3 linked regions of the Notamacropus eugenii genome follow. The protein of the gene in region 3 interacts with the protein of the main gene of each other region in a biochemical or structural test. Links are inferred from orthologs where the notes say so. Each region holds a gene or a part of one and is shown on either strand. Other genes may lie near its edges. The genes, in order: AKT1S1, RPS6KB1 and RPTOR.

Region 1 (7,268 bases), on a different chromosome or scaffold from region 3:
GGAACAGGCCAATAAGGGGTGGGTAGCGTCATCGGATAGGGACTAATGCAACTGGGCCATCCCTGAGGTGGGGCGGAACCAGAACAGGGCGGCTGTAGTGTCGAGAATAGGGGCTTCTCCGTAGTAAAGTCTTTCCCCGAACAGCGGGAGCCACTGGCAGTTCAGGCATTGATTGGATCCTCCTTAAAGGGGAGGACCCAAAAGAACTAAGGCTGCGGTTGGCCAAGGGGACAACACAAGGGCCATACGAGGAGCTGATTGGATGCCCCCGCACCCTCCCCTAAAGGATGCTCCGGGAAAAGAGCCTGGGATTGGCCAGGGCCTGTGGAGGAGTGGAATTAAGAGGAAACTCGGGGAGTCGATTGGATACTTCCATTACCCTCCCCCAACGCACGGGAAGAGCAAGAAAAACGGAGCCCCAGAGAAAGGGAGGGTGGGGCAAAGAACGGATCCGGGATTGGCCAGGTCTGGACGTGCCAGGGGCGGGGCCAGAGGGCAGGGAATGGGGGTGGGGGAAGAAGGAAGAAAAAGGATAGGCGAAAGGGGAGGCGCAGACAGGCGCCCCCCCTCAATATTTCCGCTTGAGCTTCTGAAAGTCACTGGTGTTGAGGCGGGGCCGGGGTAGGTCTCCGAACACCTGGGAGCCTTCGGCCTCGCGCAGAACCAGGGCCTGCATGCTGGCCGCAATGCGCTCAAGGTCCGGGGAGGAGGGCTGTGGGCAGGGGGCAGCTGGTCAGCCAGGGCTACTCAGGGTCCCCTCCCTGCAGATCGAACCGCCCCCACCCCCCACCCCCCACCCCCCACCCCCCACCCCCCACCATGTCCACCGTCACTCACGGGCCCGTTCTCCTCATCCGAAGACCTGGTCTCCGTTCTCTTGTCCTTGAAGCCCCATACTGGCACGGAAACCGGCAGGGACTTGGCATACTGCTGGGGGACCTGGCTCACACACGGAGGGCCGGCTGGTGCCTCTTCGCTCAGGCTCCCGTCATCGGTGCTCTCAGGGTCAGATTCACAGAATGGGGGCAAGTCCTCGTGGGCAGTGTCTTCGTCCATCACAAAGAGGCCTGAAGGAGGGTGGGGGGTCTTGGTTCCCAGTTCTGACCTCCCAGGCTTCCATCCGGCAGAGCTTCCCTCTGCACCCACTCCCTCCTTCTGGCTCCTTCTTACCTCCGTCATCTCCCAGTCCTAGCCTGCTCCCTGAAGTCTCTGTTTCTGTCTCCTCCTCGTCCTCATTGCCGTCCTCCTGCTCCTTCTTGTCTTCTTGCCTCCGAGGATGGGGAGAGCTCCTTGGGCTAGGGGCCTGGGGCTCCGGTGCAGGGCGTGGTGCAGGGGGCCTGGCAGCCGCGGCCCGGTGGGCCTGTGCTATGTCATGTAAGCAGCGCCTGGCAGCTTCTGCCAGGGCGCCCCGGCCATGGGCTGCGTAGGCACAGGGGCCTGGCCGTGGTGGGGGCGGGGGTGCAGCTGTCAGCAGCACCAGCTCCGTACCTGTCTGTGCCCGAAAACGCTCTGCTGCCCCCACCACGGCTTCCCATAGCTCCTCAGGACGCCCAGATGCCATCCACGCCCTGGTGAGAGAAAAGAGAGTGACTCAGGTGGAAGCCGCGCATAGTGGCCCCCCCACTCACACACTTACACACACCTTAACAGAGAAGGGGACTGAAAAAGCTTGAAGAGGCTGTTTAGTGCAATGCCCTTCTTTGACAGAAAAGGCCCCAAAAGCCCAGAGAAGACCCTGGCCGGGCCGTCACCCTGTCTCTGCAGAGGCTTGTACAGAAGTCCCGACAGACACCGCCATGGGGGGAGCAACCGAGGTTACAAAGCGGTAGGTCTCACGCCGGTTCTAGGGCCGGTGACATAGAACGCCCGAGGGGAGGGATCTGGGGGCAGGGATAATCCAGGGGGATTAATGGGAGGAGGGAAAAGGCCGCAGAGTCCGGAATTGCATCCAGGTTTCCACCTAAGAGAGGATCCCCTCCACACCTGCCACCAGTTCCCCCAGTTTGGGCATGGAACAGTTGCTCAGCTCCGCCCTCCACGTGGGAAAACAGGAAGTCCTGCCCCTTGTGGGCGGGGCAAGGAGTTCCGAGGTACGAAGTAGCCCCAACCCTGTGGGGAGAGGAAAGAGGAAATCACCCCTCCTCCCCCTTCGCCCCGCCTCCCCACTCCCCAAAGAGGAAAACGGATGTCCCGCCTCCCAGGGGTTGGGAAAGCTAACGTCGAAAGCCGCCTTCTCGAAGAGAAGGCTGAAACCGGAAGTCCCGCCCTTGCGTGGGAGGGGGCACGCCAGGAGCCGGACCCCAGACCACCCCCCTCCGCTCCCCCATCATCCCGACATAGGTTACGGGCTTGGATCGGAGAAGTTCTGGAGTGAGCGCGGGGCCTCGGCCCCCTCTCTCCACGCGAGGATGGCTGCGCTGTCAGCTCGCTTACCTCGGCCGGGCTCCTGTCTCCCTGCCTCCCTCCCCGCCAGCCTTCGGTCCTCCCCAGGCGTCCGCGCCGCAGCCGCTCACGTGCTTGCGGCCAGCATGGCGGGCCTGGCGCCCTCACAGGGCATGGCGGCCTCGGCGTCATTTCCGCCCGGCGCCAGCCTCGCCGAAGCGCTCGCGACTCGCGGTCGGCGCGTCTCTGCAGCCTACCCTCGTTCTGCAAGGAGGGGCCCACCTGACCTGCCCTTAAACATCATGGCGGCCGCGCGGCTTCACGCCCCGCCCCTTGCCGAGGTCCATGGCGCTTCCGCCACAGACCTTATCCCTGAGGGGGCCGCTCCGCCTCCTGCCCGCGAGCATGGCCAGGTACAACCACGTCCTCGCCCCGGGGGCCCGCGACACCACGGCCCCGGCCGCTGCCTTCCTCCGGGTGACTCCCGCTCCGCTTCCCTTCCTCCCCCCACTTCCTTGCACGGAAGTGGTATGCCCCGCACTAACATGGCGCTCACAGCGCTGCGCAGCTCGCTTCTTTGAACGATGGCAGCACCGCTGCGGCATCCCTAAAAATCCAGGCGGAAAAGGTGGGGCTCTCGCGGTGGGGCGAGGCTTGGCAACTTCCGTCTTTGTTTACTTCTTGCTGGGAGCCCGCATGACGCGCCGGCGCACTGCCCAGTCTCAGCACCGCCCCCCCCATTGCATCTGCGCAGAACGCATTTGTTACTCTTCTCCCTCTTCTATTAGTGGTTTGATCCGCTGACGGCCGAAGGAACAAGCGGACGCTACCATTTTACTCCCATCGAGGGGAGGTTCGTCCCGCCGGATGTGACGTAAGGAATTTGTCTCCGGAGGCGGAGCGAGCTAGGGGTGTGGCCTCGGCCCCAGCTGCGACTATGGAGGAAGCTGGCTACCGGGTAAGAGGTGGCGGAGAACCTAAGAGGCCTCCTGTTTGACCTTTCCTTCCGTCCTTTAGGAACCTGGGTCCTGCCCTTCTCTGACCCTTCCCCACTACCCTTCTGGCCCCCGATCTCTTAGCGCACGCGTCTCCCTCGGCCTCGAATCCTCGGTAAAGCGTCAGCTGCGCTGATCTTTCTGCGCATGCGCCCCTGCTCAGGTACCGCCCTTGGGCGGAACTGCTTCCTCACTTCTGGCTGTGCGCATGCTACCCACCCGCCCCCGGGCACCCGCCTCCCCCTTTTGCCCGCTTCTGTGCACGTGTGCAGGCTCCTGCTGAGCCTCAGCCTCATCCCCACCTGTAGGTGGTTTTCGAGAAGGGCGGAGTATACCTGCACACGAGCGCCAGGGGGCGGCACCAGGACCCGGGCTCGCTCATCGCTGGCGTACTGCGCCTGCTCGAGAAGGTGGGTTCCCAGCAAGTGGGCGTGGCTTGGGCCGTGGGGGCGGCCTCGGGCTAGCTGGGCGGGGCAGCCCTGGGTCTCCCATTTCTTCTCTTTGTCCTTCCCTCCCCCCAGGACAATGACGTCATCCTGCATTGGGCCCCAGTGGAAGAGGCCGGAGACTCCTCCCACGTGGTTTTCTCTAGGAAGGTGGGCACCCCGCCCCCCCAGGGTCTTCTTCCTGGGGTCTCGATGTGTTCGGTTTCTCCTCCCCCTCCGTGTCTGGGGGGCGTGCCCCCCAAATCAGGCTGGAAAGTTCTGGCCCCCCACCCGCGTGTTCAGTCTCCCTTTCCCCACGACCCTCCCATCCTATCTCGGGGTGTGTTGGCGTGCACCTCCCCTCACACAGTTGGATCGCCCCTTTCCTCTGGGAATATGTGGGGCCCCCCGTATATCTAGGTCTCTGCTGTGCATTTGGGGCTCCCTCCCCAGGAGTTTTCAGGGCCTCCCATACATCTAGGTCTCTGTTATCTCAGGGCATGTCTAGGGGCCCCTCCCCAGGATATATGCAGCCTTCACAAATTCAGATATCCCCTCTCCTCCAGGGTATGTTCAGGGCCCCACCCCCTTGTGCTGTCTCAGATCAGTCTGTTCCCCTTTAGGGGGCTCAGTGTCTACTTGTCAAACCCACGGTGACAGGGTCAGAAAATCTGGACTCAAATTGATGTTTGGGGTTTTGACTTTTTGGTCCCATTTTTACCCATTGGTGTAATAGGGTTGGGTCACCTTGTTCCAGGGGTGGGTTCTATAAATGCTAGGGCAGACCCAGGATCCAAGATTTTACTATTTCATTTTCCCTCAGGAGCCTAGTGGGGGAGACCCCTGTCCATCAGAGGAAGAACCTACCTTTGACCCTGGCTATGAACCCGATTGGGCTGTGATCAGCACTGTGCGGTCCCGGCCCCGGCCCCCTGAACCTGACCCAGGTAAGTCCATTAGTCCCTAGCCCGATAGGACCTAGGGTGGGGAATGGCCTGGACTTGGGCCCTGACCCAAGGACATTGAGAACAGAGATGGGAGAAGATATATAAGGAAAGCGTTCTGGATTGGAGGGCTTGAGCTGGGTTTCAGAGGCTAGGGGTGAGAGAAGTGGAAAAGAGTCCTAGTTCCTGAGGCAAGTGGCAAGATCACCACGCGGGGCAGGACCAGACAGCCTAGGTCTCTGTTTGGGGATAGGATCACGGGTGGGGGAGATTCTGTCTGAACAGCAGTCCCCAAAGTAGGGGAATGACCATGTGAAGGGCATGGAGGAAGCAGAGCGATTAATGAAAGAACAGAAAGGGAGGATGGCGGCAAAGCATTAGTGATGATGGTGGTGGTGGGGTGGTGGCTCCAGACTTGGCAATTAGGGGACCATTGACCACCTGCAAGGGGGTAGAGTGTTTTCAGCCAGGGTTTGGGGGCAAAAGCAATATTGTAAAAGTTTGGAAAGCATTGGTGGTAAGGAAATAGAGGCAGAAGGTACAGATAGTCCTTTCTAGAAATCGGACCGTGCCAGGTAGGAGAGGGCAGGAGGCCCTCCAGGAGTCATAGAGGAAGGAGAGATGGGTGAGAGCCTCTTGCTCCCTCCCTCCAGCTGCAGGGTCGGGCAGCTCCCGGGGTCCCTGGGCCTTCTCAGTGAGCCTGGGGGAACTGAAGTCGATACGGCGCTCCAAGCCAGGCCTAGGCTGGGCCTATCTGGTGCTGGTGACCCAGGCGGGCGGCTCCCTGCCAGCTCTCCACTTCCACCGGGGGGGCACGCGGGCCCTGCTGCGGGTCCTCAGCCGATACCTGCTGCTGGCCAGGTCAGTTGGCACCAGGTGCCCCTTGTGTCCCACCTCTCCTCAGCCCCCCACCCCCAACGTGTACCCATCCTTCATCTTTCCTTTTTTTCTCTGCTGGGCCCCAGCTCTCCCCAGGATTCGCGCCTCTACCTCGTCTTCCCTCACGACTCTTCTGCTCTCTCCCACTCTTTCCATCATCTTCAGCTCTTTGATGACGACAGTTCCAATGTGGTGTCTGTGAGTCTCTGGTCTGAAGGCTGGAGGGGGCCCCCCTGGGCCTGGGCGAAACAGGGAGGAGGGAAGAGCATTCCCTGGGGTAGGAAGAGAGGGGGTCTGTATTGAGGGGAGTGGGAGGGAGGCACACTATCACCTTCCCTCTTTTATCCTTTCTTCAGCGTTTTCTCCAGGATCCTTATGCAGCCACCTTTGGTGGTTTCTCACGGGTGACCAACTTTTTTCGAGGAGCCCTTCAGCCTCCCCCTGATGGCCCCCCTGCCCGCTGTCCTGAGGCCCTTGAGGATGAGGAGCCAGAGCCTGGCTTTGAGGTCATCTCCTGTGTGAGTACCTGAGGGTCAAAGTCAGGTGTGACCCAGGGTGGATGGTCTCTGAGTAGCTCTGGATGTCCTGAGAGGAGGTAGGGGGGTGAATCATGGCTTCAGATCACCATCTCTCCCCATGTGGGGTCAGTGCAGGTGCAGCTGGGGCCCCGGCCTGTGGTTTCCCGGGGACAGCCGGTGACAGAGGACATATGGGCCAGCCACGTGGGCCCAGATGGGCGCCTTCAGAATGTTGGGGAGCTCAAGGCTCAGATCTTTGCAGGGGTGAGTGGGCTAGGGTGCCTGCAGGGAATGAGGGAAGGGGATGGCAATGCAGCCATTTGTGTGACCACTTTGTATCTTCTTAGGGTTTGTGCCCCTCTTTGAGGAGGGAGGCCTGGAAGTTTCTTCTTGGTTATCTCAACTGGGAGGGCTCAACTGAGGAGCACAAGGTCCACATCTATAAGAAAACGTGAGTGAAAGAGCCCTCTGACCCCAAGTCATCCAAGAGAGCCCTGTCCCGGAGCCCTGGCCTTGAGAGACTTCCAGTTGTTGGTGGCTGGGGGACAAGGCCTGATTGTGATGGTGGTCTGCTGCTGACCTCTTCCCCTCTTCCTAACCCCTTTCCCGGTGGCATCAGGGATGAGTATTTCCGTATGAAGCTGCAGTGGAAGTCAGTGAGCCCTGAGCAGGAGAGGAGGAACTCGTTGCTTCATGGCTATCGCAGCCTCATTGGTCAGTGCTGTACACATGGGTCAATGGGGATGACCTGAGGTAAGGGTTGCTCCAACCTGAGTTTCTGTTTCCCTTTCCTGAAGAGCGCGACGTGAGCCGTACTGACCGCAGCAACAAGTTCTACGAGGGACCTGGGAGTCCAGGCCTGGGCCTGCTGAATGACATTCTCCTCACCTACTGCATGTATCACTTTGACCTCGGTGAGAGCGGGATGGGCATCTCTGTGGGATGGGTGGGAGCTGGTGGTACAAAAGCCTGGGTGGAAGATGATCCATCAAGAACTCCCCAAATGGCAGACTTTGGGCACACAGGAAGTAAGGGAACTTGTGGTATCCATCAGCAGCTCACATCCTACCCCTTGTCCATGCTCCTAGGTTACGTCCAGGGCATGAGCGATCTTCTCTCTCCCAT
Region 2 (7,872 bases), about 49 Mb from region 3:
CAAACAGAGAATTACTAGCTGGGGGGCAGGAGAAAATAGGGGGAGGAACTTCATCTGAGCTGAGCTATTAAGGAGTGAAGGGCCTTCCTAGAACCAAGGCAGGCTTATGCAAATACAAAGAAGCTGGAGAGCTCAGGCAACAGTGAGTAGCCTGCCTGAAGGGAAAGTTGTAGAAATAAGTATGAAAAGGCAGTTTGGAGCTAAAGAGCTTTCAAAAGCTTGGTGGAGGGGTTTGTTCTCTTGTAGAGGCAACAAGGAAACAGTTGCTTTTTAAGCAGAGGAATAACATGATCAGATCAGTGCCTCAAGAAGAGTATTTTAGCAAGTCAGTGAAAAGACAGATTGGAGAGGGTGGAAAATAAAAGTACTGATCAATTAAGAGATCATTATAATAATCATGAAAGAAAAGATTCAGAATTGATCTAGGGTGCAGTCTGTGAGCAAAGAGAAGGGAACTGATGGGAGAGATGTTATGAAGTTTACGTAAACTAAGTGGATCTGGGGAACAAGGGAGTCAAGATTACTTTTTGAGTTACAAAACTAGGAGCATGATACTAAAGAAAAATAAAGAAGTTGGGAGAAGTGGTAGATTTAGAGGGTAAAGATGATCATGAAAAGAACAGCATTATTCATTCCTGTTTTAACTTCCCTTTAAGATACTCAAAGATCTTCATATAGAAAATGTATTCCTATAAATATATATTGCATGTACATACATAACGGTATCTTTTATTTATACATGTCTTTTACATAAATATATACATGTATGTATGTGTGTATAAATATTATCTATAATATATGTGTGTATGTTTTTACATATATATGTATATATATGACATCTTTTAACCCTAACATTTATCAGTTTGATAATATGCAAACGTTACTATTGTTTGAGGGGATGAGGATGGAATTGGGCAGTTAAATAACATCCCAATAACACAAGCAAAGTGTTGCTAAATTACTCAACTTTCAGATTACTATTCTATTTGAATTTTCTTTTTTAAATTTAAAAGGAAAATGAGAAGCAAAATAGAACTTTCAATATCCAACTCATTAATATTTTTAAATCTCATGTCTAAAGACCTAGGATGATGTCTCATCAGGATGTGGTGGTGATATTAGGTTCTAGAAGTGGTAAGTCTTACCAAGCTAGAAAGGATGGAGTACAGGGCCAATAAAAAATGAGATGATAAAGCGTTCACCAAGCCTGAAAGTAACGAGTGTATATATGTATATGTATGTGTATATATATGTATATACATACATGTGTATATATACATATATGTGTCTACCACATGTAACACACTAGCCATTAATTACTGTTATTAACAAATGTTCTTATAGGAACAGTCTAAGCTTGGAAAAATTCATCATCAAAACGCTGACTGTAATGAATTATTTTGGCCATATCAACTCACAAAACTATATACTAGAATTGGCCAAGAAATTTTCCCAAGCTGACACATACTAGCTTAACCTCTCAGAGTTCCAGGAAATTCAAACCATACATTTTATATGTGCAGTAGCAGTAGGCAATTCCTCACGAGTTCCCCCTCAGGTTGATACAATTACAGATAAGAACAAAAACAAACAAAAACACTACATATTAAGACCTGACAAGGATGCAACCTCTTCAGTTTCCTCTAAGGTGTACCCTACACTGATGGTGAAATCACAGGCCAGGAGGGGGGAAAAAAGGGTATCTATTAAGGTGTGAAGCCTGTGAAGGGATCATCTTGGGGGGGAGGGTTACCCACAAAGATGAAATGAAATCACAGATCTTTTGAAGTACAAAAATATATGCCTTACCAATGATGTTCATGAGCAGAGAAATAAATTATTTTAGATTCGCCAACTCTAAAAAACACCTTAAAAATTAATAAATAATCCTTAAGTACAATCTGGCCTGGAAAAAGAAATATTGCAAAAGGAACAATAAAAGACAAAAACAAGCTCTACTTAAAGTAAGCTAGAAAGTAGTCCTACCATACAGCAAGGTGGCCCTGGAACCATCAACTTAACAAGTCCCAGGTAAAGCAACTTATTTGGGGGAAGCCAAATCACAGCTGCCGGCACCGTTTTTTCAACTCCCAAATCAGAAAACCGCACAAACCTCTTGTCTGGCGGGCGGAGGGAGAATCGGGAAGAGGGGCATCACAGTTTTACACTGTAAACAGCTTTTAAAGAATCACCCCGTAACCCTCCCCCCGAAACTGCATCCTGCAGGTCACCCTCCCAGGGCGGCTGCTGCCGCAAAGCCCAGCCCGCAGAACTTTTCAGCTGTCATCCAACAGCTGAGCGGACGCTTGGCAGGCGCCAAGTCGCCGGGGCGAGCGCAAGGAGCGGGGACCCCAGGCTGGGGAGCAGCTTGAGCTCCCCGCACCAAGCACCCCTCCCTGCTCCCCCGCGGCCGCCTCCCAGACCCGCTGCTCCAGGGTCACCCTGAAGCTCGCGCCACCCCCGCCACCAGAGACCCGGGGTCGGGAGGGGGTGGTGGCCGGGAGCTTGGTGCACCTGCGCCCGTCAGCAGCCGCCCCCACCTCGGGATTGGTCCTGCCGCGCCACCCGACTCCACAGCGGAGCCCGCTGCTCGGCCGCCGGCCGCCCTCCCGCTCCGCTGGCCTGCGTCCTGGCCCCAGCCTCTGGCTCTCGCCGCAGGCGAGGTCGCTGGAACGGCCCGGCTCCCTAGGCCCGAGCCTACGCCCCGGCCCTGTCACCTCCGCCCGGCCCAGCCGGCCCAGCCTGGCTCGGCTCAGCCCCCGACCCCGGGCCTCACCCCTTCCTCCAGCTCATCCTCAGAGCCTGCGTCCTCCGGCTGGTCCAGGTCGATGTCAAAAACTCCTGCCATGGCCTCAGCTTCCCCGTCTCTGAAGTCTGGCGCTGGGTAAAATCCGTCCCGCCGCCGCCGCCGCCTCATGGGCCCGGACCCGCCGCAGCCGCCGCTGCTGCCGCCGCCATCACCAGCTGCCGGGTATCAGTGCGACTGCGCTCAGGCCCTAGGCTCACACCGCAAGCTCACCCATTTGCACATGCGCAGAACTACCCATGAAGCCGAACTATGGGCAATGGGCAAAATTAGCTCTTGTTCTGGGAGCGAAGTAGAGGCTTAGACATGCGCATAACCTCACCTGAAGCCGAGGGTATAAACTTGTGTATCTCTTGCTCCAACAGCGCTTGATAAACTGTGCGCATGCGTATCGTTTCTGAAATTGATGAACTGAACTCAGAACTTGCATATAACTTTGGACCAGCTGAAGAAGGGGAGGGAGAACTATCGAGAGAAGGGTTCGCAGAACGGAACATGCGCACTTATCCTTCTGAAGTCTCGAGTGCGGACATCGAACATGCGCAGGAGGGATGTTTGGGGAGGGATGAGTTGGTGACAGTGAGCATGCGTGAGTGGAGAGCCGTTATTCTGGGGGTAGTGGCAGAGACCCTAAAGCTCGGCTGGACTCGGAGCCGTCGGTGAGTGAGGGCCTAGGCCCGAGATGAGGGAGTCTTCCTTTCTCATTCGCTCGAGCTGGGGCCTTCGCCGAGGTGGCCTCGCTGGGCGGTTTCCGCCCTCCTCTCCGGGCCTCACGGCCTTCCTTTTCCCTGGTCTTTGAGCTCCTCTGCAGTGAAACCAAGTCCCTGCTGCTACCCTGTCCGTCGGAGACGTTCGCCGCGGGCCTCCGGAGAAACCTGGCACTGTAGGAGCGTAGTAAGAGCTGGAAGGGACCTTGGAGCCCGGCGGCGGCAGGGCCAGCCCCCTGATCGTACCGGTGAGGAAACTGAGCCCCACAAAGGGCGTGTGTCTTGTCCAGGACCCCCACGGGGCCGGGGTTGGAAGTCTCCGGCCTCCCAACCAGTGGTCTCGTAGATGGGGTTTTCTCCCTCCGACTGGGCCGATCCCCACCGTCCGTGCCTGCCCAGTCACATTAATAAGCCTGACATCCCCATGGAGAGCCCTAGAGGCTGTTGCCGGGTGACCAGCCCGCCGCCTTTTTTATTTCCGTTTTTTTCCTTGTTCTGGTGAAGTCCACGAGCTTTTAGTTAGGCACTATGCTAAGCGCTAGGGATGCAAAGAAAAGCTCGACCCTACTCTCTGTGTTGTGCCTTGAATGCCAACTAACCTACTGACAGCTCTTTTCCTCTGCGTTGGGCAGTGCCGCCTTCCTTCCCTCTGAGACTACCCCAATTTTACATGTATATATATATATGTGTGTGTGTGTGTGTGTGTTTTACATACACGTGTGTGTATGTATATGTGTGTGTGTATATGTTTTACATACACACGTGTGTGTGTATGTATATAGTTTGTCCATGGTTGTATGTTGTCTTCCCCATCAAACCCCGAGTGCCATGAGAAGGGCGGGGGGGGGGGCATTTGTTTGTTTTGGTTTGGTTCTTCTTTATATCCCCACCTTTGCAGAGAGCCTGGCTCAAAGTAGGCACTTGGTAAATGCCTGAACTGAGTGACTGAACTTTTCTTGTAAGGGCTAATAGAGGTGCTGGGCACCTAAGCTTGGAAGGATGGTGAAGTCTCCATATATTCTCACTCTAACTGTAGGGTATTCTGCTACTGGCAAAAACAAAATCATTGCTTTGAGGAAAAATTGACAGAGAATCTGATGTTCCAGATAAAGGAAGGAAGGCTTGTCAAAAATTCTTTATGGTGCCTCAGTTTTTATTGATACGCACCTTTTGTTTTTCACTTTCTAAATGTGTCTGCATACTTAAAAGATTATGTTCTGAGAGTTTCAATGGAGACACAAACGTCAAAATTTGGCAACTAGTTTGATATGTGTAGTAGATTAGAATGAGGAGTCAAGGATGACACCAAGCTTGTTGTTATAACAAAGTGACAGGAAGGATGGTGGTGCCTTTGACAGTAACAGGAAAGTTTGAAAGAAGTGTGGGTTTATAGGGAAAGATAATGAGTTCTGTTTTGAATATGTTGAGTTTGCAGTACCTGCGGAACATTCATTATGAATAAGCACTTGGTGATATGGGAGTGGAGTTCAAGAGAGAGACTAAGGCAAAATATATAGATATGGGAATCATCCACTGGAAATCTGGAACCATTGGCAGTTAATAAGCTCACCACATGGGAGAACATAGAGAGAAAGAGAACAGAGGTTTGGAGGACCCCCATATGAATGGGCATGACTTGGAAGAAGAGCCATTGAAGGATACTGAGAAGTAGTGGTCTGACTGGTTGTGTCACCAAAACAAAACAATACAGTTATATTCTAATGTGTGAAGAGGTTTCAATCTCATCCATAGTACTCATACTGATGAAGGCACATCTGATCTTTTGATGTCTTCAGTAAAAAAAAAAATCCAAGCAATCATCTCAACTGTGGTGGTTATTATCACTGATATTTAATTATTTACATCTTCCTGTAAAACTAGAATCATTGAAATATAGCTGTCCTCTTACAGATTATACATATTCGTAGGTAGCTTAATTGCCAAATGTTTGCCAATTTTTGTTGTTATTGTAAATAAAGTGTTTTTTCATGATGTTTTCTTGATCTTTAATGTGGATATCTTGCACCTTTGCTAAACCAGTTTGATGTCTTCATTAATTTTCATGTCATATGCAGAAAAATTACCTGAAAATTGCTCAGTCTCATTAGTAATCAAACATATACAAATTAAAAAAACTTGGAGTTATCAGTTCACATTTATCAAACTGGCAAAAAACAAAAACAGTGGCACAAATAAAATCAGTGAAGAAAGAATCAGAAGAGAAGCAGCAGAGTAGGAAAAATACCTGCATCAGATACCACTGATATTTGTTACAAGGGTGTTGTTTTTCTTTTCTTTTTGTAGATAGAAGATAGGGAAGAGAGAAAATAAAATATTTACCTGAAAAAGCTGTTTTAAAAAACCTCAGTCTCTCTCTCACACACACACATAAGCACAAGCTTGCTATGCATACTGCATGGGGAACTGCCATAAAACAATAGTTACTGCCCAGTGGTTAAGTGGGCCTGCTTATGGTTGTCTGAAGGCCTCAACCCCCAGACCAGAACATATTACATCTTTCTCTTGCTGTGCGACAGGCTTCCATACTACCAAAGATACAATAATACTACCTGTCATGAGGCCTTGTGGATCATACCAAAAACAAGATTTTTTCTAACCACATACCTTCACCAACAAACTTCTCTCCATCTGCCTTGTACTCTGCTTGCACTCATTTCCCAGTAGTTAGCGTATTCCTACTCCCTCATTACAGATAGTAACTCCCAATGTATGTATCTTAATTATGAAAGGAAGATGAGAAACAGTATGGTTAGAGATCCACAGTCATGATTAGAGATCCAACCCTGGAATCAGGAGACTTGGCTTCAAATCCCATATATGAATCCAGGCCAGTCTCTGAACCTTCCTTGCCTCAGGCAACTACCCCTGAAAGACTCTTAAGTAGCAGGGCAGGGGTCACTCATATTGAAACGTTTCGTTTTTTTGGGAGTTTCCCATAGCAAAGAAAGCATATTTGCAATACAATACCATCCTATCTCATGAAGAGAAGATAACTTTTTTTAAAGCGAAGTAATTTTCAGGGACAGAAATACATTTCTGATGCTGTTTTTAATTCACTGTCAGAGATAATCTAGGAATTTCGAAGTTCTGTTTTTCCCTTCAGCTAAGCCTGAATGTTATTACTGTTATATAATGTTGCTTAATGTGTGATTACTTTCTGATGTATGCGTATGTGTTTTTATTTGCCCTTGATGATAATCTGTAGTTATTTTGAAAGACATGATTGTTTCCTATTCTGCTTTATTCACTTTCTTTGTAGGAAAAGGTTTGGTCGCCATGTCAATAGTCACAATTCAGCTTGGTCAGTGTGGCAATCAGATTGGTTATGAAGTATTTGATGCCATATGTAGAGACTTAAATAATACCCAGGGATTCTGCTCTAAGAGGGAAAATGAAGTATATCAGGCATCTTGCAAAGAACATTTCTTTAATGAGGAGAAAAGTGGAGGTATGTAATTAAGGTGGCGATAAACATTGAGAACAACGCATTGTTTCTTTTTTTTCCTTTTAACAAATATTGACCCTAGAATACCAATTATGGAAAATAAAAGTATTGCCTGTTTAAGCAGGAAGCAAAAAGAAATGTCCATAAGTCTCTTTGTATCCAATTTAATTTTTTTTTAAATACCTGTTGCTTTGTATACAGTGGATACTCAACAAATGTTGCCAAAGAAATTTTTATTTAAAATTGGGAAGTTTGGTTTTCTTTTTTTTCCCCCATACTTATTAATTTGTTTTCAGTTTTCAACAATCACTACCATAAATTCCAAATTTCTTCCCCTTCCCTCCCCAAGATAGCATGCAATTTTATATGGGTTCTACACATGCATTCCTATTAAACACATTTTCACCTTAGTCTTGTTGCATAGAAGAATTAAAACAAATAGGAGAAACCATGAGAAAAACAAAATAAAACATAACAAAGGAGAAAATAGTCGCTCCATTCTGCATTCTGACTCCATACTTCTTTCTCTGAATGTAGATGGCATTTTGCATCATGAGTTCTTTGGAAATGATTTAGGTCCTTGCATTGCTGAGAAGAGCTAAGTCTATCAAAAACAGTCCTTGTATACTGTGGCTGTTAACTGTGTATAATGTTCTCCTGGCTCTGCTCACTTCACTCAGCATCAATTCACATAAGTCTTTCCAGCTTTTTCTGAAGTTCTGTTCATCTTTTCTTATAGCACAATAGTGTTCTATTACATTCATAAACCACAACTTTTTCAGCCATTCCCCAGTTGATGGGCATCCCCTTGATTTCCAGTTCTTGGCCACCACAAAGAGAGCTGCTATACATGTGGGTCTTTTTCCCATTTTTATGATCTCTTTGGGATATAG
Region 3 (7,397 bases):
GGGCCTTACAAAATCAAAGAGTTGGTCTCTAAGGTCAGTACCAACTCTAAATCTGTGATCCGATGATGAAGCAGTGAAATCAGGTACTTAGTAGAACTTTTGGATGAGTATGATGTTCAATTAACCATGAAGAAAGATGCCTTCTAGAACAATGGAATAGTCTGGCTTGTATGCCTGGAACCATAGTGATTGCTTACGGTCGTCTCTCTAATGGAAGTTTCTTAAGTGACATCCCCTCAAGTGGCTCATCAGAGAGAAGCCATGGACCCAACTTCCCAAGGCATCTTTGAATGGAAAGATAATAGTTGGTTCTAAAATTACTCCAAAAGGTCATTTACAAACTGATAGTGTAGACTATTTTCACAGCCAATGAAAATATTCTTCTCAGTAAGGTATTCAGAACTACAGGACTTTTATTTTTCTTCTCAGTGTTCTGTAAGGAGCTTATTAAGGAGTTTTGCCTTTCCCAACTTAGAATTTTAGTTTTAAAAAGTCAAAGTTAAAAGAAATCACATCACTTTTGGCCAGATGAAACATCAGATTTAGAACAAGAGCTACATTTCACAACTAGTCATTATGAAAGACTTTTCTGTCATATTAAAAACAAGATGTGATGCTTTTTTAGAAAAAAAGCAGGGTGCACCAAGATTATACTTAAAAAATTGGATGGATTTGTTTTACAAAATATTGCTATTCAAACGCTCACAGCAACCACAAGAACTACAAAGCCTTTAAATAGCATCAAAGACATACATTAACTCCAAAGGATGTCCACAATTCTTGAGGATCTTATCATTTATACTTTACTTTTTGGCTTATGAAAGATCTTCTCCATTCATTTTACAAGTAAAAGTCACCAAAATACCAAAAATACTAATGACTGGCTAAATTAGAAATTTTCCTGTGTAATTTTATACCTATTTGTTGTGATTTTTAAGGGAATACTAAAGATTTCACCTTTAGTGAAATTGGATTTAAATGAATGGAAAAAGAAGCTGGGAAATTGGTAGTCCAACTCATTTTCTTTGGTTATTGTGATGAAAGTTATGTGGATATGCAATGCATATGAATATCAGATACAGTAATACTACCTGGCTAACCCATCTTCTTCCCCACTGGAAGCCTCCCAAAGTCACTGCCAACACAAGTAGTTTCTTCTCTCCCTCCCGAAACAATAGCCTGGAATGGCGATCCACCACATTACCTAATTCACTGTACTGGAAATCCTCTCTCCAATTTCCTGCCATGTAAAATATGGAAAGTTTGGGGTTATGACAAGTTACTTAGAATGTTAAAACTGATTGGGTCTTGAAAACAGAGGGTCCATGAGAATGGTGTATATAGAGAAGCCCAAGAATACAGGAGTTCCAGACCCACCTCTGATACATATTGACTAGATCAAGTCCCTTAACCTCTCAGTGCTCTGAGCAAGTTGCACGATGTAGACCTGCATTATTACTGTTGAGAATTTTTCTTACCTAAGAGCTCCCTATAGCAATAAAATCACAGGTCCAATCCATATCTATCTTGAAAACAAAAGTTTATCTCACCAGCTGCCACCTCCGGCAGTAGTTCTGACCATATTCCATAACTTAGATTTACTTGTGGCCCCACGTGATTACCACACACTATTTACTTTTTTCATTTTAATTAGTAGTAAAAGTTTAAAAAGTAGACTAATCACTAATTATAAGCAATAGTTTGTGGTTTGTAATCGACTCTTCTCCAAGCCAGAATGGCAGGGAATATGTTCCTTGAGCTGTATACAAAATGGTAACCATAAATAAAGTAAGTTTCTTTCTACATTAATTCTAACTTTATCAGTCACCTGAAGTTTTTCAGGCTGGTCTTTCTTTTAAAAAAACAAAACAAAACTAGAGCAGAAGTACCACTTGATTGTTAGGTGCAGAAGATATGCAACATGTGGCTGGTAGACAGGACCGCACAACACCCAAGATACTGCCCCGGGCTTCACCCGGACTAGACTGAGATCCCCCTGGAGGGAAAATTACCACAGTTAAAGGGGAAGCAGAGGACGGTTATTTACCCGGTCCTTCATCCTCCAGCTCTGGGCCAAGGACTTGGAGCCCTCGATCTTCTCGCAGTGCCTCTTCTTCATGAAAGTCAAAGGCAGGTTCCAGTCGGTCAGGTCGGACTCGTCCTCCTCCCCAAGCCCGAGAAGAGGCGACTGCAGCATCTCGGACTCCATGAGGGTGGGAGGAGGTGGGGGAGTCCTGGGCAACAAACGCTCGAGAACCTCCAGCCTTAGAGAGTCGTGGGCACCAGAAAGGATGAAATATGGGAACGAGGGGTGGATGCGGGGAAAAGAGAAGCACTGGCGAGGCCGTCCCAGTATGGAGCGGGGGGCTGGCCAAGTTCCCGAGGCTTATCTCCGCGTGGGAATGCCAAGAACCCCAGGGCCAGGGGCCCACGCCCCCGGGCTTCAGGCCACACCGACTTCTTCGTGGGCTGTCGGATGGAGCCCCGAGCTGGCTGAGAATGGAGCTGTCAAAAGCGTGGGAGCCCTCGGACCTCCGATGACCCTGCTCCAGGCCACCGGGGCCGGACCGGCCTCCGGTCGATCCCGAGGAGGCGGGCGGGAAGGTCGCAAGCTGTCGCTGCCTGCGGGCCGCCGGTCAGGCGGGTGGGAGATCCGAGAGGGGGCTAGGCGACGGGGAACGGGGGACAGGGATCCTCCTCGGGGCGCTTCTCAGCCCTGCGGACCCCGCACTCTCCGGAGCTGCTGCAGCCGAAGCCAAGATCGGCCCATAGTGTCCGCCTGCGGGAGGCTTCCGTCAGGTCTACCCTGGGTTCCCGAGGCCTGGCTCGTCCCCGCCCAAAGGCTCCCCGCCACTCCCTTAGGCCTGAGGGCAGGGAGAGGGGAAACGCCAGGTACAGGACCCTCCTGGGCGACGGAGAAAGAGATCGTTTGACTTGAGGAATTTCCCCTCGTCGTCCAGGGACAGAGAGAGAAACTCCGCTCATCAGCACACCAAGGGGGACGCCATATTGCTAAGGCCCACAATGCATAGCGATCTACGGAGCCCCCAGAAGGTCAAACTTTCTGAGGAAATTCCTGGAGCTGTCCGCCAAAGCAGTAGAAAGGGAAAGTGCTACTGACACCCATCCCCTTAGTGATGAAGGAAAAAGTAGAGTAGCATTAAGGGATGTGTTTTTTCTTTTCTCTTTTCTTATTTTTTCTTTTGGAGAAAGGGAGGGGGGAAATGGAGGAGGAGGGAGAGAGAGAGAGAGAGAGAGAGAGAGAGAGAGAGAGAGAGAGAGAGAGAGAGAGAGAGAGAGAGAGAAAGGGAGAGAGAGAGATTTTTTTATTATTTGCTGTGAAGTAAAATGGAAAAGTTAATGATGACCATCTTTCTCCAATTTTCACAAAAAACACTCTTAAAGTCATAGCTCTTTCTTGATCTTGGGTGATACCAGGGGTACCTTCTTTCAAGGATTCTACTGTTTGTGAAAGTTTTATTTGGGGGGCTAGCATGGTGAAAGAAAATCAGTACAAGTTTCTATGATGACTTACTTGTGATGTCTGCAAACCCTGGAACAATTTATTTCACCTTCTGAGGCAAGTTTCTTTATATATATATATATATATATATATATATATATATATATATATATATATATATATATATATATATATATATACACACACACACACACATGCATACATACATACATGTATATATCCATATATACACACATACATGCACACATATGTATATATGTATGTGTATGCATATTTATCTTTGTGTGTACATAAGTGTGTGTATATGTATGTGTGTGTGTGTTTATAGTGAAGGAGGAATGGTATGAATAGGAATGGTATTATCAGTCTAATCCCAACTTCCCCTCCTCAAGTAATTACTATGAAGCCCCAGAGTGGTTCATTTTCATATAAAAGGACCAGCAACTTAGAGTGTGATCAGACCAAGAAAATAATCCTTCACTAAGCCACTCTTCAATTTGGACTTGACGGCTGTCAAGGAGAGAAAGTTTTCTCTCCTTTGACAATTCAAAACTCTTGAACTTCATCCCCCATTCTCTCTCATATTTCTCCTTTTCCAATCAAATCTAGGAGCATTTATTAAGCACTTATTATGTATTGTATGAGGAGAGGGTCCCATGAACAGGATACAAAGAAAAGAAAAAGAAAAAAAGAAGGCCCTGCCTTTAAGGATAGAATGGTGAGCTTGAAGTCAGAAAGCTTCATGGTTTTGAATTGAAATGTGACCTCAGACACGTACTAGCTGTGTGACCTTGGGCAGGTCACTGAACCCCATTTGTCTGTGTTCTTCATCTGTCAAATGAGCTGGAGAAGGAAATGGCAAACCACTCCAATGTCTCTTCCAAGAAAACCCCAAAATGGGTCACCAACAATTGGATATGACTCAAAAATGACTGAACATGTGGGGGGAGGAAGTAACATGGTCAGATTTGCCCTGTAGGAAAATCACTTTGGAAATTGAAAGGAGGATGGATTGGAGTAGGAGAGACCTGGAGCAGCTCAGAAAGCTGTTGCAACACTGCATGAAATGAGGTGATGAGGCTCTGCACCAGAATAGCTGATGAATGAGTATAAGAGATGGTGTGAAAGTAGAAATGACAGCTTGGGTATCATAGAAGATAGAATTCTAGGCCTGGAGTCAGGAAAACCTGAATTCAAATCCTACCTCAGGCACCAAAGGCAAGTGACTTAACCCCCTTTGCCTCAGTTTCTTCATCTGTCAAATGGATTGAAGAAGGAAATGGCAAACCAAGAAAACCCCAGATGGGGTTATGAAGAGTCAGACATAACTGAAACAGCTGAACAGCAAAAATGACAACATTTGACAACAAAGTGAATAAGTGCAGGTAAGTCAGTTTAGAGTCTGGATGACTTGGGAAGATGGCAATGCCCTCAAAATTAATATGGAAGTTGGAGGAGAGGGAAGAGTTTAAGTATATAATGAGTTATGTTTTTGGACATGTTGGGAGGTCTAATAGGTTATTGAAAGGTTATTGGAGAAGAAAGTTAGAACTGAATAAATGGATCTTCGAGTCATCATCATAGAGTTGATAACTAAATCCTTCAGAGATGATGTTGCGAAGAAAAATAGTATAGAAAGAGAAAAAGGACCAGGACAAACCCTTGAGGAACACTTAAGTTTGGTGGGTATGACCTTAATGAAGATAGCACAAAAGGGATGGAGAAGAAGTAGTCCAAAGGGTAGAAGGAGAACCATAGTGGTATGAAAATTGAGAATCCAGGACAGTGAGAATTCTCATAGCACTATATAGTTAGCAAAGAGTTTTACATCATACAGCCAGTGTCTGGGGCCCTTACATGGTACAGTGGATAGAGTGCTTGGCTTGGACTTAGGAAAAGTCATTTGGTCTCAGACACTAACTAGATGTGTGACTGGGCAAGTCATTTAACATTGCTTGCCTCCATTTCTTCATCTGTAAAATGAACTGGAGAAGAAAATGGCAAACTGCTCTAGATTCTTTGCCAAGAAAACCCCAAATAGAGTCACAAAGAATAGGACATGATTGAATAATGCTAATGTTTGAGGCAGTAATAGAACTTGGTTCTTCCTGATTCCAAGTCCAGAGCTCTATCCATTGTGCTACCTAGCTGTGACCAAAAAAGGTTGATTGGCAGTGTCAAAGGTTGCAGAGAGGTTAAGAAGTATGAAGACTGAGAAAAGGCCATTAGATTTGAGAAGTAAGTGATTATCTATAACTTTGGAGAGGACAGTTTCAGTTGAATGATGAGTTTGTAAGTCAGACTTTATAAAGGATTTAGAAAACAATGAGAGGAGAGGAAATGGAGATACTGTTTTATTGTAGAGAAGAGAGAAAGGACATTGAGACCCTAAAGTTCCAGAGTTGTGAGGTGCCTTGGCCATGTGTTCCTTACAGATGTGCCTTGTGACCACTCTTACCACAAATATTGTGTGCAGTCATGGGTAAGTACATCCCAAGTTCACAGGGAAATGCTTTATAGCTTCTGTCCTTACTATGCCATGTAAGTTAATGTCTTTCTTAAGAGTTAATTGGTTCTAATAATAATAACAACAGCCAACATTCATACAGCATTTACTATAGCATTCTAGGCATTCTGCTAAGTGTTTTGCAATTATTATCTCACTGGATTCTTATAACAACCCCGGGAGATAGATGCTATTATTATCAGGAAACTGGGCAAGTGACTTGCCCAGGGTTACACAGCCAATAACTATCAGAGGCTGTATTTGAAGTCTGGTCTTCTTGACTCCAAACTCACTGTACCACCTGCCTGCCCCTAGCTGTCAGTCTATTAATTAGCTGTTAAAAGAAAGCTGATGGGGGCTCATGAGTTACAGTTCTATATATTGGGAATGCTAATACCATAGCTGTAGTCCAAGGAATTAGTACTTATGGGATATCACCTAAAATCAGAGGCAGCATCTCTTCCCTGGGCACCTAACTTAGCTTTTCTACATCCAGTTTATTTAGGGTTCTAGTCTATTATAGTGATTTAACGTTATGGAATACTTTCTAGATAATATTGAATTAGTACTGCTATCCATGTTAGTAGAGGGAGCACCACTTATTCCTAAAGATTCCAGATTTTCCTGTATTTTTATATTCTTTTTAATGTGATACATTGTCCTAGTAACTTTTCTTGTTCTGTGACAACCTTGCATGCCAGGGACAAACCATATTTGTTCATGGCGGAGATTTTTGAATGTGTTATACTCTTTGCTAAGATTTAATTTAGTATTTTTACAACTAAATTCAAAAGAGAAGTTGGCATGTGGCTTTCATTTCTGGCTTCATCTTTGTCAGATTTTCAAAGAAAAAATATATTTGTATCATAAGAAGAATTGGGTCACACACCACTGTGGTCTGTATTCTAGAAAAATTTATGTTATATAGTTCAAAGGGACCTTAGAGACCATGTAGTCACAGATGGGAAAACTAAAGCTTAGAAAGGATAATTTGCCAAATAGTGTTTGTTCTTTAAATGTATAGAAATGCTTCTCAGTGAACCAGTACGTTCTCTCAGGTAATTATTTGACAATTTCCCTTACTTCTTACTTTGCTATATTCATCACTTTTTCCACCTATCAGTGGTTTGAACATTTTGAATTTTTTGTCAGCCTTATTAAAATCCTAAATAATTAAGTTAGATTTGTTTCAATTGCACTCCATGGCTTCTTCTGTTATAGAGAAGAGAGGAAGGACATTCTTTCTTCTAATAGAATATTGATTTTTATCTTTAATAAGCCAGTTGTCTGGCATGCAAAGATTTGGAAATGATTTCCCCATCACTGACAAGTCATTTCCTCTATATTAAAATATAGTTTCTTTTTTGTAATATTCTATAGAGAGATAACCCATGAAGCTAGTCTCTC

Evidence for each region.
Region 1: the proteins of RPTOR (region 3) and AKT1S1 interact in a biophysical measurement, tested with the Homo sapiens proteins (2 studies listed by BioGRID and IntAct, with this or other methods). The link is inferred for Notamacropus eugenii from reciprocal best matches to the Homo sapiens genes RPTOR and AKT1S1.
Region 2: of the proteins of RPTOR (region 3) and RPS6KB1, one has a biochemical effect on the other in vitro, tested with the Homo sapiens proteins (6 studies listed by BioGRID and IntAct, with this or other methods). The link is inferred for Notamacropus eugenii from reciprocal best matches to the Homo sapiens genes RPTOR and RPS6KB1.

The regions. Positions count from the first base shown.
Region 1 is NC_092876.1:12,094,101-12,101,368, reverse strand, and holds the start of AKT1S1 (proline-rich AKT1 substrate 1), read right to left. Parts: upstream 3,021-7,268; 5' UTR 2,930-3,020; coding exon 2,748-2,929; intron 2,564-2,747; exon of another isoform or gene 2,434-2,563; intron 2,110-2,433; coding exon of another isoform or gene 1,984-2,109; exon of another isoform or gene 1,643-1,983; intron 1,569-1,642; coding exon 1,171-1,568; intron 1,068-1,170; coding exon 838-1,067; intron 713-837; coding exon 569-712; 3' UTR 1-568. Other genes in the region: TBC1D17 (TBC1 domain family member 17), read left to right, coding at 3,320-3,340, 3,686-3,787, 3,899-3,973, 4,626-4,749, 5,400-5,607, 5,712-5,823, 5,982-6,143, 6,279-6,407 and 4 more. UniProt on the Homo sapiens protein: Negative regulator of the mechanistic target of rapamycin complex 1 (mTORC1), an evolutionarily conserved central nutrient sensor that stimulates anabolic reactions and macromolecule biosynthesis to promote cellular biomass generation and growth.
Region 2 is NC_092873.1:372,682,474-372,690,345, reverse strand, and holds the start of RPS6KB1 (ribosomal protein S6 kinase beta-1), read right to left. Parts: upstream 3,007-7,872; 5' UTR 2,918-3,006; coding exon 2,777-2,917; intron 1-2,776. Other genes in the region: TUBD1 (tubulin delta chain), read left to right, coding at 6,811-6,982. UniProt on the Homo sapiens protein: Serine/threonine-protein kinase that acts downstream of mTOR signaling in response to growth factors and nutrients to promote cell proliferation, cell growth and cell cycle progression.
Region 3 is NC_092873.1:323,392,009-323,399,405, reverse strand, and holds the start of RPTOR (regulatory-associated protein of mTOR), read right to left. Parts: upstream 3,029-7,397; 5' UTR 2,210-3,028; coding exon 2,048-2,209; intron 1-2,047. UniProt on the Homo sapiens protein: Component of the mechanistic target of rapamycin complex 1 (mTORC1), an evolutionarily conserved central nutrient sensor that stimulates anabolic reactions and macromolecule biosynthesis to promote cellular biomass generation and growth.